2 linked regions of the Canis lupus familiaris genome follow. The protein of the gene in region 2 purifies or fractionates together with the protein of the main gene of each other region. This does not show direct contact. Links are inferred from orthologs where the notes say so. Each region holds a gene or a part of one and is shown on either strand. Other genes may lie near its edges.

Evidence for each region.
Region 1: the proteins of CLCN4 (region 2) and TMEM9 purify together in Homo sapiens (co-immunoprecipitation; 3 studies listed by BioGRID and IntAct, with this or other methods). This does not show direct contact. The link is inferred for Canis lupus familiaris from reciprocal best matches to the Homo sapiens genes CLCN4 and TMEM9.

Annotation. Positions count from the first base shown.
Region 1 is NC_049228.1:1,846,210-1,852,721, reverse strand, and holds the end of TMEM9 (proton-transporting V-type ATPase complex assembly regulator TMEM9), read right to left. Parts: intron 3,352-6,512; coding exon 3,202-3,351; 3' UTR 2,384-3,201; downstream 1-2,383. UniProt on the Homo sapiens protein: Transmembrane protein that binds to and facilitates the assembly of lysosomal proton-transporting V-type ATPase (v-ATPase), resulting in enhanced lysosomal acidification and trafficking.
Region 2 is NC_049260.1:6,813,288-6,820,659, forward strand, and holds the start of CLCN4 (H(+)/Cl(-) exchange transporter 4), read left to right. Parts: upstream 1-2,586; 5' UTR 2,587-2,735; intron 2,736-3,908; 5' UTR 3,909-4,166; coding exon 4,167-4,180; intron 4,181-7,372. UniProt on the Homo sapiens protein: Strongly outwardly rectifying, electrogenic H(+)/Cl(-)exchanger which mediates the exchange of chloride ions against protons.

The sequences.
Region 1 (6,512 bases), on a different chromosome or scaffold from region 2:
CAAGGACGGAAAGGGAAGGTGGAGGGAGTGTAGACAGGTAGAAGACTCCACGGTGGTCGGAGGTGGACGCGGGGGCCCATGAAATTTCTTTATAGGGCAGGAGACCTGAACCTGTTAATAGGCTGAGAAGGACCAGGGGACAGGGCGAGGCTGGGAGACCCTAGAGGTCCCAGGAAGAAGGGGGTGGGTGAGTTGGCTTAGAACAGGGGGGATGCACTAACCCCAGAGCACAGCAAGGAGGCCAAGAGAAGTAGGAAGAAAAACGCACAGAGGCAGATAAGCAAGCTTGGAGATCACATCTACCCGCCTTGATTTTCTTGAAGTAGGAAGGTAAGATTTGGTAGGGTTTGGGGGGTGGGGGTGGGGAGGGCAAATAGAGGAAGGTTGCCTAGTGACCTCCAGAAAGAGCGAGGCACAAGGATGGCACCCCCACCCCTACAGGGAGGGAGGAGATGGGGTGGAAACTGCAAACCTCTAGTCCCTCCTAGGAGAGCAGAGCTGCCCAGGACGGCTGGGGGCTTGCTGGTGAGCCGTAGGGAGGACGCGAGGGAACAAGAGCACGTGCGAGAGGGAGTGGGTCCGAGGGAGGCGTGGAGACTCCATGGCCTCTCCCGGTCCTTTCCCTGCGCCACTTCCCTTTGAGCCACACGGGCACGGGTGCTAGCCTCAAGCGGCGGTGACCAGCTCTGAGGCTCGAGTCCCAGGGCCCAGCCCAACGGTGTCTTGCAGGCGGGTCCGACCCATCACAGAACAGCACGTCTGGTGGGTTAGACGGGGGACACAGGGCTCCTGAGCCCACGGACGTTCAGGTCTCCCCAGGGGGACGGGATGGAGTAGCTTCTCATCTTCTCCATCCCGGGCCGTGCAGGCCTTCATCCCTGCACCATGTCTCCCTCTGCTGGGCTCCCTGTTCTCTCGTCATCCGCAGGTGACGTACACCCCGGAATAGTCGTCTAAAAATCGATTTTGTGTAGCTGTTTGGCTACTACTTGAATTCTTAGGTAGAGTGAACGGTCACCCTGAGTTTTTACATTAATTTATCTTCATATACTTGGCTTACTTCTGAGGACAGCTGCTTGCTTCGTATCAGATCTTTAAAACCACCAAGGACTGGGTGGGTCATCTGTGGGGCTTAACCAAGACTCAGGCGCGAGTGCGCAAGGTTTCCTCCAGTTGGCGTGGTTTAGTGGTGACCCAGCAGCGTCAGGCACCAATTTGTGGACTGGTTTGTTCTCAATGACACACCCGTCTGCCCACCTTTGAAAAGACCCAATTTTGCCTGCCTTTAAAAAAAAATCATTATTTTAAAGATTGTATTTGAGAGAGAGACAGAGCATGGGTGTGCATGGGGGGGGTGGGGGGGTGGGGGTGGGAGCAGCAGACTCCCCGTTGAGCAGGCACCCCGGTGTGGGGCCCTCGGAGGCTCGATCCCAAGACCACGATGTCACGACCTGAGCCGAAGGCAGCCACTTAGCCGACTGAGCCACCAGACGGCCCTGTGCGCCTCCTGAAGCAAGAGCATCCCCGCTGTGAAAGAATTACAACCGAATTGCCGAGCGGGCACCACCAGGCAAGCGAAGGGGGCAGACGCACAGCTGCCAGGCCGGCTCCTCCACCCGGACTCCATCCGTGGCACACGTAGCACCTGCCAACCCCCCATAAACGTTCACACTGGCCCGGCCCTTCTGCGCAGGATCCCAGAATCGTTCTGGGCCCTTCCCAGCTGTGTCCCTTGCTTGCTTCCGAGGCCGACTCCCAAGTCTCCGCAGTACTTCTCCGGAACCCCATCTGCACGTCAACCCCCCCACCCCCGTCCCCTTTAGAACTGGGCTTTGAACTGGGGCAACGGAAATGCCCACCTCCTCCCGTTGTCCTCCCGGCCCCCACCTCTCACTGAGAACCCAGCAGGGGCTCCACACAGGCTGCTTAACACCAGTTTGCTCGCACAACCCCAGGGGGCAGCAACTTCAATTCGCTCCAGCTGGTCCCTCTGGGCATGTGCTGGGACAGGGTGGAGGGCATGGCCCGTGGCGGCGCACACACCTGCGTCTCCCTGCTGCCCCAGCCCTCTGAGTAGCCGCGGGTTTTCGTTAGGGAAAACTTTCGGGTTTTGCAGTGAGCACTTTTTACTTTATCTGTGAAGATGCTGACACTGGGCACCGTTCAGAGTCTCCCACAAAGATGAAGCACAAGATCTCAGGGTCATTCCCGGGGGCCAGTGGACAGAGCTTGTGAGGAGCCCGTCCCTCTCCCCGGCCCCCACCCCTGTGGGCCCTACCACAGCCACCCGGTCAGTCTGGGCCCTGCTGCTCAGCCGGACCTATTAGGGTTGTTCTCGGTCCCCTCCCTGGGATGCAGTGAAACACTAAGCTCTCTAGATCTCTTGAAGTCTAGAAAGTGGGAGAAATAAGACAGTTTAATGATGGCTTCCTTGGTTTACAGACAACAGGAGGACAAACGTTTCTCTCCATGCACCGGTGCAATGAAATCAGGCGAGTGGCAATCCCAGGACAGGAGCCATGGAACTCAGAGCCACCGCTCAGCCTCTCAGTCGCGTGGTCCCACCAAGTGTCGGCTCAGCAGCGGCAGACACGGGGAGGCGGGGGACGGCCTGGCCCTGGGGGCCGGAGTGAGGGGCCAGGTGCTGCAGGAAGCGAGGGGCGCGGCACTGCCCCATGCTGGTGGGAGAGTGTGGGGGAGGGGGCGGGGAGCCAAGCGCCCGGGTGGGCCCCGACCACAGGGAGCAGCTCGGTGGCATCAGCTGTCCCATCAGAGCTACCCTGGGGGCCGGAACCAGGCTGCGCTGGGGGGAAGGCGGCCGTAAGAGCTACGGCAGAAGAGGAGCACATGCTGACTGCCTTCCTCCTGCGCACGGAGCTCCCGGTGACCCAGCTGCACCTGGCAAGGGGAAGAGCGCTCCCGAGATCTGGAGCCGGAAGGCGGGAAGGGTGAAGGAAGGAGGTGCAGACTGCCTCAATCCCGAGGCCACCCGCAGGGTCGCCACCCCCTCCCCTCGAGCCCAAAGCCTTGAGCAGGGACCCTACCACTCTTCCCGGATTCAACTAGCTAAGGAGAGGGAAAGGGAGAAGGCCTCGGGCTTCTCAAGAGAAGTCCTGGTGGGGGGCGGTACTGGGGGGGGGGGCAGCCCCAGGAGCTGGAAGCCGTGGGCCCTGGTCCTTGAGCCCAAGCTCCCCGGCCCGTCTAGCTGAGCATCTTGTGCCGATCGAAGACGGTCTTCCGCTGCTCCTGCACCTGCAGCTTCCACCGCTGCTGAGCGCCCTCCACCCGCTCCAGGACGGTGTTTGCTCGAGGGCCCCCAAGGGAGGCAGCGGCTGCCATAGAGCGAGCATCCTGTAGGGGGGAGAAAAGGGGGAGAAGAGTCAGCACCGCGGGCCAGGGCGGGGGCCTGAAACCCCACACACAAAGGATGCCCTGGGGCAAACCCCAAGGCTGAGTTCCCCCATGTGGGAGGCTGGGGGCGCTGCTCAGCATCCGGAGACTGCGTAGGGTGGGGCCTGGGGGAGGAGTGCCATCTGGGGCCCTAGTGACCACGAGGCCGCAGCCCGCTGGCCTATTTCCGACCCTCAGGATGAATACTGAGTTGCAGCCTCAGGACCTCACTGGGTCAGCGCAGAGGCCCTGGCGCCGTCCATGGCTTCAGGGAAGGCATCTGTGCGCCCCAGGGCACCCCGGAACGCCTTCACCCTGCCTGCCACCGCCCAGGGACAGCAGGAAGGCCCAGAGTGAGTGTGTGCCTGCGGGGAACATGGGCCCACTGTCCCCGGGAAGGAACGGATGTCCCTCCCTTCTGCCCCAAGGGAGTCGGGCAGGGATGGAACCTCGGGGTCCACTCCCAGCACTCCCGGCCCGGAGCCTGCCTGGCCCACCGCCCGCGGACAGGCGAGGGTAGCTCAGCAATTCTCCGTGTGCCCCACGGAGCCCCTTCCCCTCCGCCCGCGGAACCGCTTCTGTTGTCGGAGGCAGCAGCTCCCCTAATTACCACCTCTCTGCCTCTGAAGCTCCGGAGCCCGTGCATTTCCTGCGGGACCCCAACCTGATCTTTGGGGGGAATTAGAGCCGAGGGCCAGGCCCACACCCCCGTGGGGATTTCCTCCCTCGCTCTCCCTGCCTCTCATCTCCTGCCACACATCTCTTAAGGGATTAGCGCACCTCTCTAAGCCCAGAGCCGCCCAGTAAATGCAACTTTGCTTCTAATGCCCCGCGCTGGCACAGCTTCTGTCGCCCTGCAGCTGCCAGGCTGGGGAGCCGGGAGGGGCGGTTAGGCGAGAGTAGGGGAGAGCGAGCTGGCAGGTACAGAGAGGTGGCCGGCTGGGGGTGAGGCTGGGGGGTAGGGCAGGGCTGCAGCGAGCTCTGAGTCACTGTCTCATGAGGGCCACTGCCTCCCGGGGAGCCCCGGGCCAGGACCCCCCCAGGACGGCTTCCCGGTCCGCCCAGCTGGGGATGGCGGCGGCGACACCGGGGAGGCGGGTGCGGGCAGTGTTAGGCAGGGAGTGCACCGAGCCCAAGGTCAGGACTCCTGGGTTCCGGGCCTGGGCTCCGAGGGGCCTCTGATCCTCCACCCACGGCCCCCAGGGGATCCGGCTCGGAGCCCAGCTGGGAGCTGGGACAGAGGCACCGCCTTAGGACCCAACGGCTTTAGGTCCCTGGACAAGTGGCTATTTCTGCAAACGTGAGCTGAATAAAGCCAGTCTTAGATGGTTTTGACTGTCCTGTCGGCAGGAATTGCAAGTACCCGATGACCCAGTGCGTGTGCACAGACACGTGCACACACATAAAAGAACCGTCGTGTAAGACACTTGGCCTGAGGCCGCTGATGTCCCCTGCTCTGCGGAAGTATTTAAAACGCTAGTCATGACTCACGACACTGATTTCACGACTTGACGGCTGGTGACCCACGCTTTGAAAAACATGGTTCGGGATTCAGGAGATGGGAGTGGCGAGGTGAAGCAAAGCGCCCCGTGTGAAGCTCCTCGCACGCTGGCCTTCACGGACGAGGAGCTCGAGAAACGTCCCCGGCTCCTCCTTCCCTGGTGGTTCAGCTCCGCGGTTCAGAGCACCGGGGCGTCAAACGCACCTGCTCCGCACCTTGGCTCCAACGCCTCCTGGAAGTGACCCTGGGCAAAGCTAGCTCGTCTGAGCCTACGTCCCTGCCGTAGGACGGGGACCGCAAGAGCGGCCTCTCAGCGAGACACCCGAGCAGAGCCTTCCGCAGCGCCGGGCCGGCGGCAAGCGTTCGACTCGCAGCAGCAATTAGTCGCGTCAGGGGCCAGCTGTGGGGCCCACCAGGCAGGAGAAAGGGGGAGACAGCTGGCAGCCTGCTGCCGCAGGGAGCTGCCTCGGAGAAGCGACCATGGCCCCATGTCGCTACCTTTCGATTCCGCTCCTTCCTGGCTCGGCTGCGCCAGCTGGGCGCTACAGCGGGCCAAGGACAGGCCTCGGGGCGGGCGGCCGTGTAGGCGCGGCGGGCACTGAAGACCCACCCGGGCCTGGCGCTGTCCTGGCTTCATGGCCGAAGGGCCTTGTCCTCCCCCCGCCTCTCATCTGGTCCCGGCCGGCCCAGCCGCAGTGCCAGGCTGAGCCCCGGGGGCAGGCCTGGAGGGACGCGCCAGCCTCAGCCCTGCGTCTCCCGACGGCTCGGCAGCTCCAGGGAGCACTTTGAGGAGGGGAAGGCAGAGGAAGCCAAGAGCAGAGCATTAAGGAACACGCCGAAGTTCACCGCAGGACCACATATCATTTGTTTCCCCTTCATGTAAAGTCTTAACAAGCAGCTCCTAAGTGGGGGAAAGCTGCTGCTGAGAGGCTCCGTGTTTCCACTGCTAATAGTCCGATTAAAAGGTATTAAAGCTTCCACGTGTGTTCTAGAGGCAGCCCGGAGTGGGGCCTCATCCTAGCCTGCTCTGCCGCGGGACGGCAGCTGGAGGCGCGGGAGAAATCACACCGTTCCTGCCCCTTCCCTCTGAGGCGGGGTCTCCAGGGACGGCAGGGACGCAGGATGGCAGCCAGGAGGGGGGAGGCACCTGGGTCCCGGTGGGGGTCCCGGGTGGAGTGCCCCGTGGGACCAGGCCAGCGTGACGATGTCACCGTGTGTCGGGGGCTCTGCTGAGAACTTTACGTGGATCATCCGCAGGCTTGGGCTTACGGGGTAACGTCACTTCCACTGCAGACAAGGAAACCAAGGCCACGTGAGACGAGCCATGTGGTGGCTGAGCGCGGGGTGCCGGCGTCTCTCCGGTCCCAGCACTCTGCTGGGTGCTCCTGCGGCGGCTGGCTGCTCAAAGAAGCAAGCTGGTATCTCTCCACGGGGCCAGACTGAGCACCCCGCGCCTGCAGAGGCCCCGGGAATCGGGGACTTCGAGCCAGGCCCTCCTCTTGTCTGGCCTGGGAGGCCCCAAAAGCTGGTGCGCACAGGCCAGAGCGGACACCACCGTCAAGGTGGCCCAGATGCACAGGCTCTGGTTCAGAGACAGCCCTGGGCGGGGCCGAAGCCCCTC
Region 2 (7,372 bases):
AATCTGATGTACTGACATAGTGTTATCAGCCATAATTCCGGTCATTGTCTTAAAATGCTGCATGTTGAAGAAATAACCAAATTTTCTTGTCAATTGCATTATAATGAATTCTCATCTGATCTTTAGCCATTGCCAGTTTTTAAGTCTTTTGTCATTCACAGGTAGTCATTGTTTTATTCTGATGCTTTTGCCAAAATGTTCCTGCAAAAGTGCTTTATCTTTGAGGAGATTCATGAAAAAGACCCTGACAAGCACCCTATGGATACAGGTCTCTGCTGACCTTAAGATCTTGACACTGAACTGGGTAAGAATTTCTAAAGCTTTCGTGGAAAAGTGATGAATTCATCAAAGAACAAAAGATCGAGATCAACAAGAATTAATTACAGGAGACCAAAGGAAGTAATGAAGATAATTAGAATTTTTTATAACTTCACTTAAAATATTGCTGGTTCGTTAATGTCTTGTTTGCAGATTTAAAAGGATCTGAAAGAGCATGATCCATCACTATTTTTGCTGCACTCAGAAATAATCAGGCCAAGTTTATTAAAAGTCAACTTAATTTGCAAAACAAATTAGTCTTGCCATGGTTGTCTTTGATGGAAATGATTATGGAGAGAAAATTATGTTTCAGTAACACACCCTTGTGGATTTTAGATTCTAGTGCCGTTGATCATCTGAGGTTTATTTTCTACCCGCAAACTGGAGTGGATCCTGAATTCTAACTTCCTCCAATATTTGGCTAAAACCCTGCAGCCTAGCATTTCCAATTTTCTCCCACTATTTTCACTTGGAATCACTCTGAGGCTAAGCCTGCCTTTTCCCCGAAACCATGCAGGCTGCAACTGGACAACTTGATAAAAACTTCAAAGAAATCACAGCAGCCCATGTGCGGCTCTTTGTGCCTGCAGCTGTGCAGCCACTCAGAGAGATCACCGGGGGGACACTGACACTGCGAACAGGACGATCTGATTGCCTGACCGCACTGTTTGTGCTCTGCCTAAAGATACTTAGAATCCGACTTTTAGAAATTTTCTCAACTGACCGCTCTGCAAACTCAGAAAATGGAATTTCTAATTTGCTTGAACTATTCATGTTTTTCTTTTGTTTCCATAGAAATGCCTCTCATTAAAATTACCCGGTTAGGGCGGCCTCGGTGGCTCAGCGGTTTAGCGTCTGCCCTTGGCCCAGGGCATGATCCTGGAGACCTGGGATCGAGTCCCACGTTGGGCTCCCTGCATGGAGCCTGCTTCTCCCTCTGCCTGTGTCTCTGCCTCTCCCTCTCTTTGTGTCTCATGAATAAATGAATAAAATCTTTAAAAAAAATAAAATTACCCGATTGCTCACATTGTATGGAAGCCTGATTCAGGTGGAAGCCCGCCTCCTGAAACACAACCTCAAGTTCATCCTTGGCCATCACGAGGTTACGTGTTTGCTGATACATCATGTTGTGCCTGTGTAAATAACCTTAAAAGTTCTTTTGTAGATCGACTTAGGTGAAACCTGAATCTGATTATAAGCCATTGGGATTTATTTGGTTGGTGAAACCTTGGCTCCCGGGTAGCTCTGCTCTGGGGAAGTTTTCAATCCTTGCCTGTTGTTTTCCCTATAATCATATTGACCTTTGTAGTGCATTACATATGACTGAACTAATGGAAACAGCAAGTGTGTGATCCTGCCGCCTGACTGCACCCAGCACGTCGAGGAGGAGGAGGATGCTACGAAGGCTGGTCATGCCCTGAGCCTGCTGAGAGAAGGGCCCAGACGTGGGGAGGGGCTGTTAAAATGAGAAACAAAGCGAGTCCCACCTTGCGGGGTCCCTGAGCAGAAAGACCCGGTTTGGTCACGCAGGCGAGGCTTGATTCGGCTTCGGCTGCCAGGCTTAGAGGACCTGGTCACTCCTTGCTCACGTGTCTGGAAATGAGAAGCAAACCTTGAACGCTTCCCAAAGTTGATAAAGGACTTGGTAACCACTGAAAATTGTAATTATTGTAAGTAATCAGTGCGAAGAATGAACAGTCGCAGCTTTGTCACTAACAGGGGCACCCTTGAGCCTCATTTCGGGCTGAGTGTCGGGGTCTGCCAACTTCTGGTGTGTGCACAGTAATTTTTCTTTTTATTCCCTGTTTTTCTTTTCTTGTTCCTTTCCTTTCCTTCTCTCTGTCTCTGTGTCTGCGTCTCTCTCTCTCTCTCTCTCTCTCTCTCTCTCTCGCTGCTGACTCACGGGTTTGAGTCTGGCTATTTGGAACCTCTGACAGCAGTCCCCACACGCCGTGCGGAATGACACGTCCGTCTTAGGCCTTCCCTGAACCGCCCGCCTGCACTCCTGGTTTTTCACACTTGAGCGTGCCCTGCAAGAGGAGGCCAAGCTAAGCCACCCGCAAGCAGCAGCGCCCCGCAGGGAGGACGGCGCCTCCCCCCGCCGTCGCCGCCGCCGCCCGGATCGCCCCGGTCGCGGCGGCAGGTCCCCCCGGGAGGCGAGCGGCGGCCGCGCGGGGCGGGGCCGAGCGGCGGGGCCCGGCACGTGACGGCGCGGCCGGGCTCCGCGGGGCGGGGGCGGGGGCGGGGGCGGGGCGGGGCGGGGGCGGGGCCGCCCGGGGCGCCGGGGCCAGGCCGACGTCTGCCCGGGGCCGGAGAGCGCGCAGCTCGGGCTCCGCCTCCGCGAGACCCTGAGCCCCGGGAGCCGGGGGTTTCGGTCGCGCTTGAAACTTTAGAGCTCGGGAACCGGAAAGGCGAGGGTAAGTCGCTCACCACCTAGAAAAATCAGCCTGGGACGAGTGACCTAGAAAAAGCACACGGCCACATTGTTGGCTTTTGAAGTCCGGTGCAGAAAATGATGGTAGATCGCTGCGAGGGGCAGAGGGCCCGTATCCGTGCCCCGAATTAGAGACCTCCCGAGCGGACATGTGCTTAATCCGGAGGGAATGGTGGGAAAAGGGCCCTGGTTAAATATAGAAGGACGCGAAAGCCGCCGTAATAAATAGCAAGTAGGTAACTCCTGGCTGCTTGCGAAACAACCTATTTCACATCTCTTTCGGCGGCCAGGAGGCCAGGCCATGTAAAAAATCGTGATTGAAACTCTCTCGAAAGTGAACCAGTGTATGAAACTGGAATACAAGCGCGACCAGTTTCTGCTCTTGTCCTTTCACATTTCAAAGCCGTGTCTATGGCTTGGCAGAAGAAAGTTGCATTGGGTTCACTGCTTACGTTTGAAATATGCCATTTCAAATGGACATGACCACTGTTGGAATTTTCTAAGGCTTTCTAGGGAAGGCTTTGAGTTGTGAATGGGAAATGTTGACATCGTGCGTGTTTTCTGTAATAGTAAGATGACTCACTTCTGCAGAATGTGATAAAAATTAAAAAGCGTGAAACAATGTTACAGAGTTATTATGAATTAACTCTTTCATGTCTCTGAGACATCAAATTCCTGGCCACAGCGTTAAAAAAAAAAACCACTGACACGAGTACAACCATGCTCATGCATTAGTGCTTTATTTTAAATAAATACAAGCAGTAGGACTATGTGGCATCCCTTTTTTTTACCTTTGGCAAATACAAGTTTAATAGTAGAAAGTAGCTGTTGAGAGTAAATAAAAGCATTATTCATCAGTGCGAATAGCCTAATGGTCCATAAGGAATATGCTTCAAATTACAGTATTTGGTATCTTTGCTACATGATTTGAAACCCTGAACCTCTATGCAGAGTATTTCCAGACACTTTATATTTTACCTGTCACTTGGATCTGCACAAAATATGTTTCTCCGTTGCATCTCATAAAGACTTTGAAAACTAAAACACCAAATTGTTCCCTTTCATTACTAATCCCTAACTCTTTTGAAATCCCATTACGTGCTCGGAGCCTGTAATCACTCGGATTTCGCCCTCTGTGCCGTTTGTTTCCCCGTAGTTGCTGAAAGCCTAGGCACGCCGCGCTCCTCAAGCGAGCTGCCCGGAAGGGGCGCGGGAGCGGGGCTCCCCGGCCGCTCGCTCCTCACCTCCCCGGACGTCCAGGGTCTTCCTCGCCCCCCACCCCCTCCCCGCCTCGCCCCGAGGGCGTCACGTGGCGGCGTGGGGCCCGCCCCCGGTGACGTCACCGCGCTCGCAGCCGTCGCGCCGAAGAAAGGATGCTCTAGGATGCCGTGCAGGTGGGCGGCGGGGATGCGCCATGCGGCACTGCAGGTAAGGGACGCGCGGCGCCCACGCTGCAGGCGCACCCCGGCCTGCAGGCCCGCAGCCCGTCGGCGCCCCAGAAAGCGAAAGTGGGGTCTTCGGCGGCTGCGGCTGCTGCAGGCACCAGGCGGGGGTGCGGGGCGGGGGTGTTGCAGGCCCACGCGTGACTTCGGGCTTGGCGTGCCCATCCGGGAAAGTGGGCAGGGGCCAGACGGGAAGACCGGGGCCTCTTGCCCCGGCGAGAAAAAAAAACCGGAATGATCCCCACACATGCATTATAAAGCGAGAAACGGGCTGGTCCAAGATAACTGTCAACTGCTTTCCAGCTGTCATTGTGCTTCCTAAATAATGCCACCTTTACCGATTCCCCCTTCAGGACGTTTGTCCTCAGTCTTTAGCCCGATTTCTTCTAAAGCAAGAGCTGCTTTGCTCTGAATGGAACGGGAACTTACTGGTTAGCAATTTAAAGAGCTAGATGTGCAGTGTAAGTCGTTTGGCGTTGTTTTGCAAGGTTCCAACCTTTAGAGGGGATGTGTCAGAAATGCATTTTCTCCCCCTCCAGGTGTCTTAAGTAGATGAGAAAATGACAGCATCCAATCCAATCAAATCCATAAAATAAAATGCAAGCCCCGAAGATTAACTGCGAGTGTAAGAGACAGCGGATCAGCTACATCTCTTAAGGACAAAATGGTTTTTAGAAGGGGGTGGGGTGGAGGCGAACACCCAAACGGAAGAATTCCCAGTGTTCTTTTTAATTCCCGTGCTGAATAGTTAGCTTGCTGAAGAAGGGGCTTGATGACTCAGCGGCAGATGGAGGGGGTCAGGTGACTTTTCAGTTCTGGCCGGACAGGGGGTGGGATTGTAATGGACTCTGTTAAGCATTCTAATCTGTTCACATTCCTTTCTCTGGTTCAAATAGGACCTGAGGCCAGGACACGGGTGGGCACCCTTGGGAGGAGAATGTGACGTTCTTTTCTGTAAAACGTGACCCCCCTGGAAGTTAGGGCATCAGTAAACTGTGCTGGAACACACACCATGAATAATTTGATTCCCCAGTAACTGTTGGAGGACAGTATTAAAAAGCAATGCTATTTTAGTTGATAATATAAGGAAGGGTTTTTATTCTTTACCCCCTGCAGTGGGCTTACTGTCAGGCAGCCCAGATAGCTTTGGTTCTAAGGAGGGGATTTATATACTTCTCTCTCTGCTTTCTTTTCTTTTTTAAAAATTTATTTAATTTATTTTATTTTAAATTTATTTTTATTTTTTCCTTTTATTATTATTTTTTTATTGGAGTTCATCTGCTTTATTTTCTAACTGATTTCCAATTAATTTCGGAGTAAGGCAAGGCTTATAAAAACGATGGAGAATTCTCTTCCAACTTAGAACTTTGTAAGATTGCCATCCAGAAGACATCAAGGAGAAGAGAGGATGTGAACCCTGTTTAGAGAAAAATGGGGCTAGAGATGGGGTGGGGGTGAAGTCAGCAAAGAAAAATGGGATGGGGATGGGGTGAAGTCAGAGACTTACCATTTGCTAAAATCAAAATAATGTTTCTGAGAAATTAATGCTATGTCAGAAAACGAGCTGGTAAGATATTGGGACGTAGTCTTGCATATACTTGGATCTAGAGAGCCAAATGTCAAAATCGTACCTCTGTCCATATCCTCGCCTATATATGTCCATACATTCGTGTCTGTATCTCTACAGCTGTGTCTTTGCTAGCATAGTCTTGTTTTTATGAATTCTGCTTATATAAGAAAATACCAGGCTATTTTCCAAGGTGGGTGTACCATTTTGCATTTCTGCCAGCAATGTATGAGAATTTCAGTTGCTGAGGATCCTTGCCAGCACCTTGGTTTTGTTTGTTTCTTTAATGTTAGCCCCGCTAGTAGGTACATAGGGGTTATCCCTTTGTGTTTTTTTTTTTTTTAGGTGACTGAGTCTTATTGTATATAAATGATTCCCTGCCAGCACTTCAGTATTGTCAGTTTTGTTAAAAAAAAAAATTAAACATTCTGGTAGGTAGTTATGGCATCTCATTGTGGTTTCTTTCTTCTTTATAAATTTTTAAATAATTTACTTATTTATGGTGCTTCGAGTCTGTTTCTCCCTGCTAGAAATAGAATAGGAAGTCCACGAAGCCTCGGGTTTGTGTGCTTATTGTGCGTTCCTCTATCTCCAGCTCTGGGCGTGGTACCGGGAATATTTAGTTACTGTTTAATAAATCAGTCGATGTTTAGTAATTGAGCAGGTCCTGAAGGCCTGGGGGAGCTACCCTGCTCACACCAGAGGGGGTTAAACCATCGCGGGGGCCTCTGCAGTTCCCGCTGGTGGAGGAGTCAGGGATGAACCGGATTTGCCAGCACGGTTTCAGGCTGAACTCATTCTCAAGGAGCTCGCTAGCAATTTTCATTACCTAGCTGGTAACTGATCTTCATTTTTCATTAATTATTTTCAAGTCCCTGGATCCAACCATGCTTGAAGCTTCAATTAAAAATAAAAAAAAATTATTTCTCCCACTGCCTACCCCCTGCCTTGGCAACCACCAATCTGCTCTCTACGAGCTTGATTCCCCGCGGTATTTGACTCTCTCTGTCTGACTGACTTCCCCTTAGCATAATGCCCTCGAGGTCCATCCAGGTTGTTGCAAATGGCAAGCTTTCATTCCTTCTTAGGGCCGAATAATATTCCATTGTAAATATGTACCGCATCTTCTTTATCCGTTCATCCATCATCCGTCCGCAGACGGATTGTTTCCTTGCCTTGGCTGTTGTAAATAATGCTGCAGTGAACACAGCAGGGCAGATATCTTTTTGAGCTAAGTGTTTTTGTTTTCTTTGGATAAATACCCAGAAGTGGAATTGCTGGATCATGTGGTAGTTCTATTTTTAGGTTTTCTGAAGAGCCTCCATTCTGTTTTCCACGGTGGGGGCACCAGTTTGCATTCCCACCAGCAGTGCACGAGGGTTCCCTTTTCTCCACAGCCTGGCCAAGGCTTGTTATTTCTGGTCCTTCTGTTAATAGCCCTTCTAACAGGTGTGTGGTGTTATTTAGTTGTGGTTTTGATTTGCATTTCCCTGATGATTCGTGATGTTGAGCGTCTTTTCATGTGCCCGTTGTTCATCTGTCCATCTTCTCTGGAGAAATGTCTATTTAGATCTGTCCATTTTTTGATCAGATTTTATTTTCTGCTGAGTT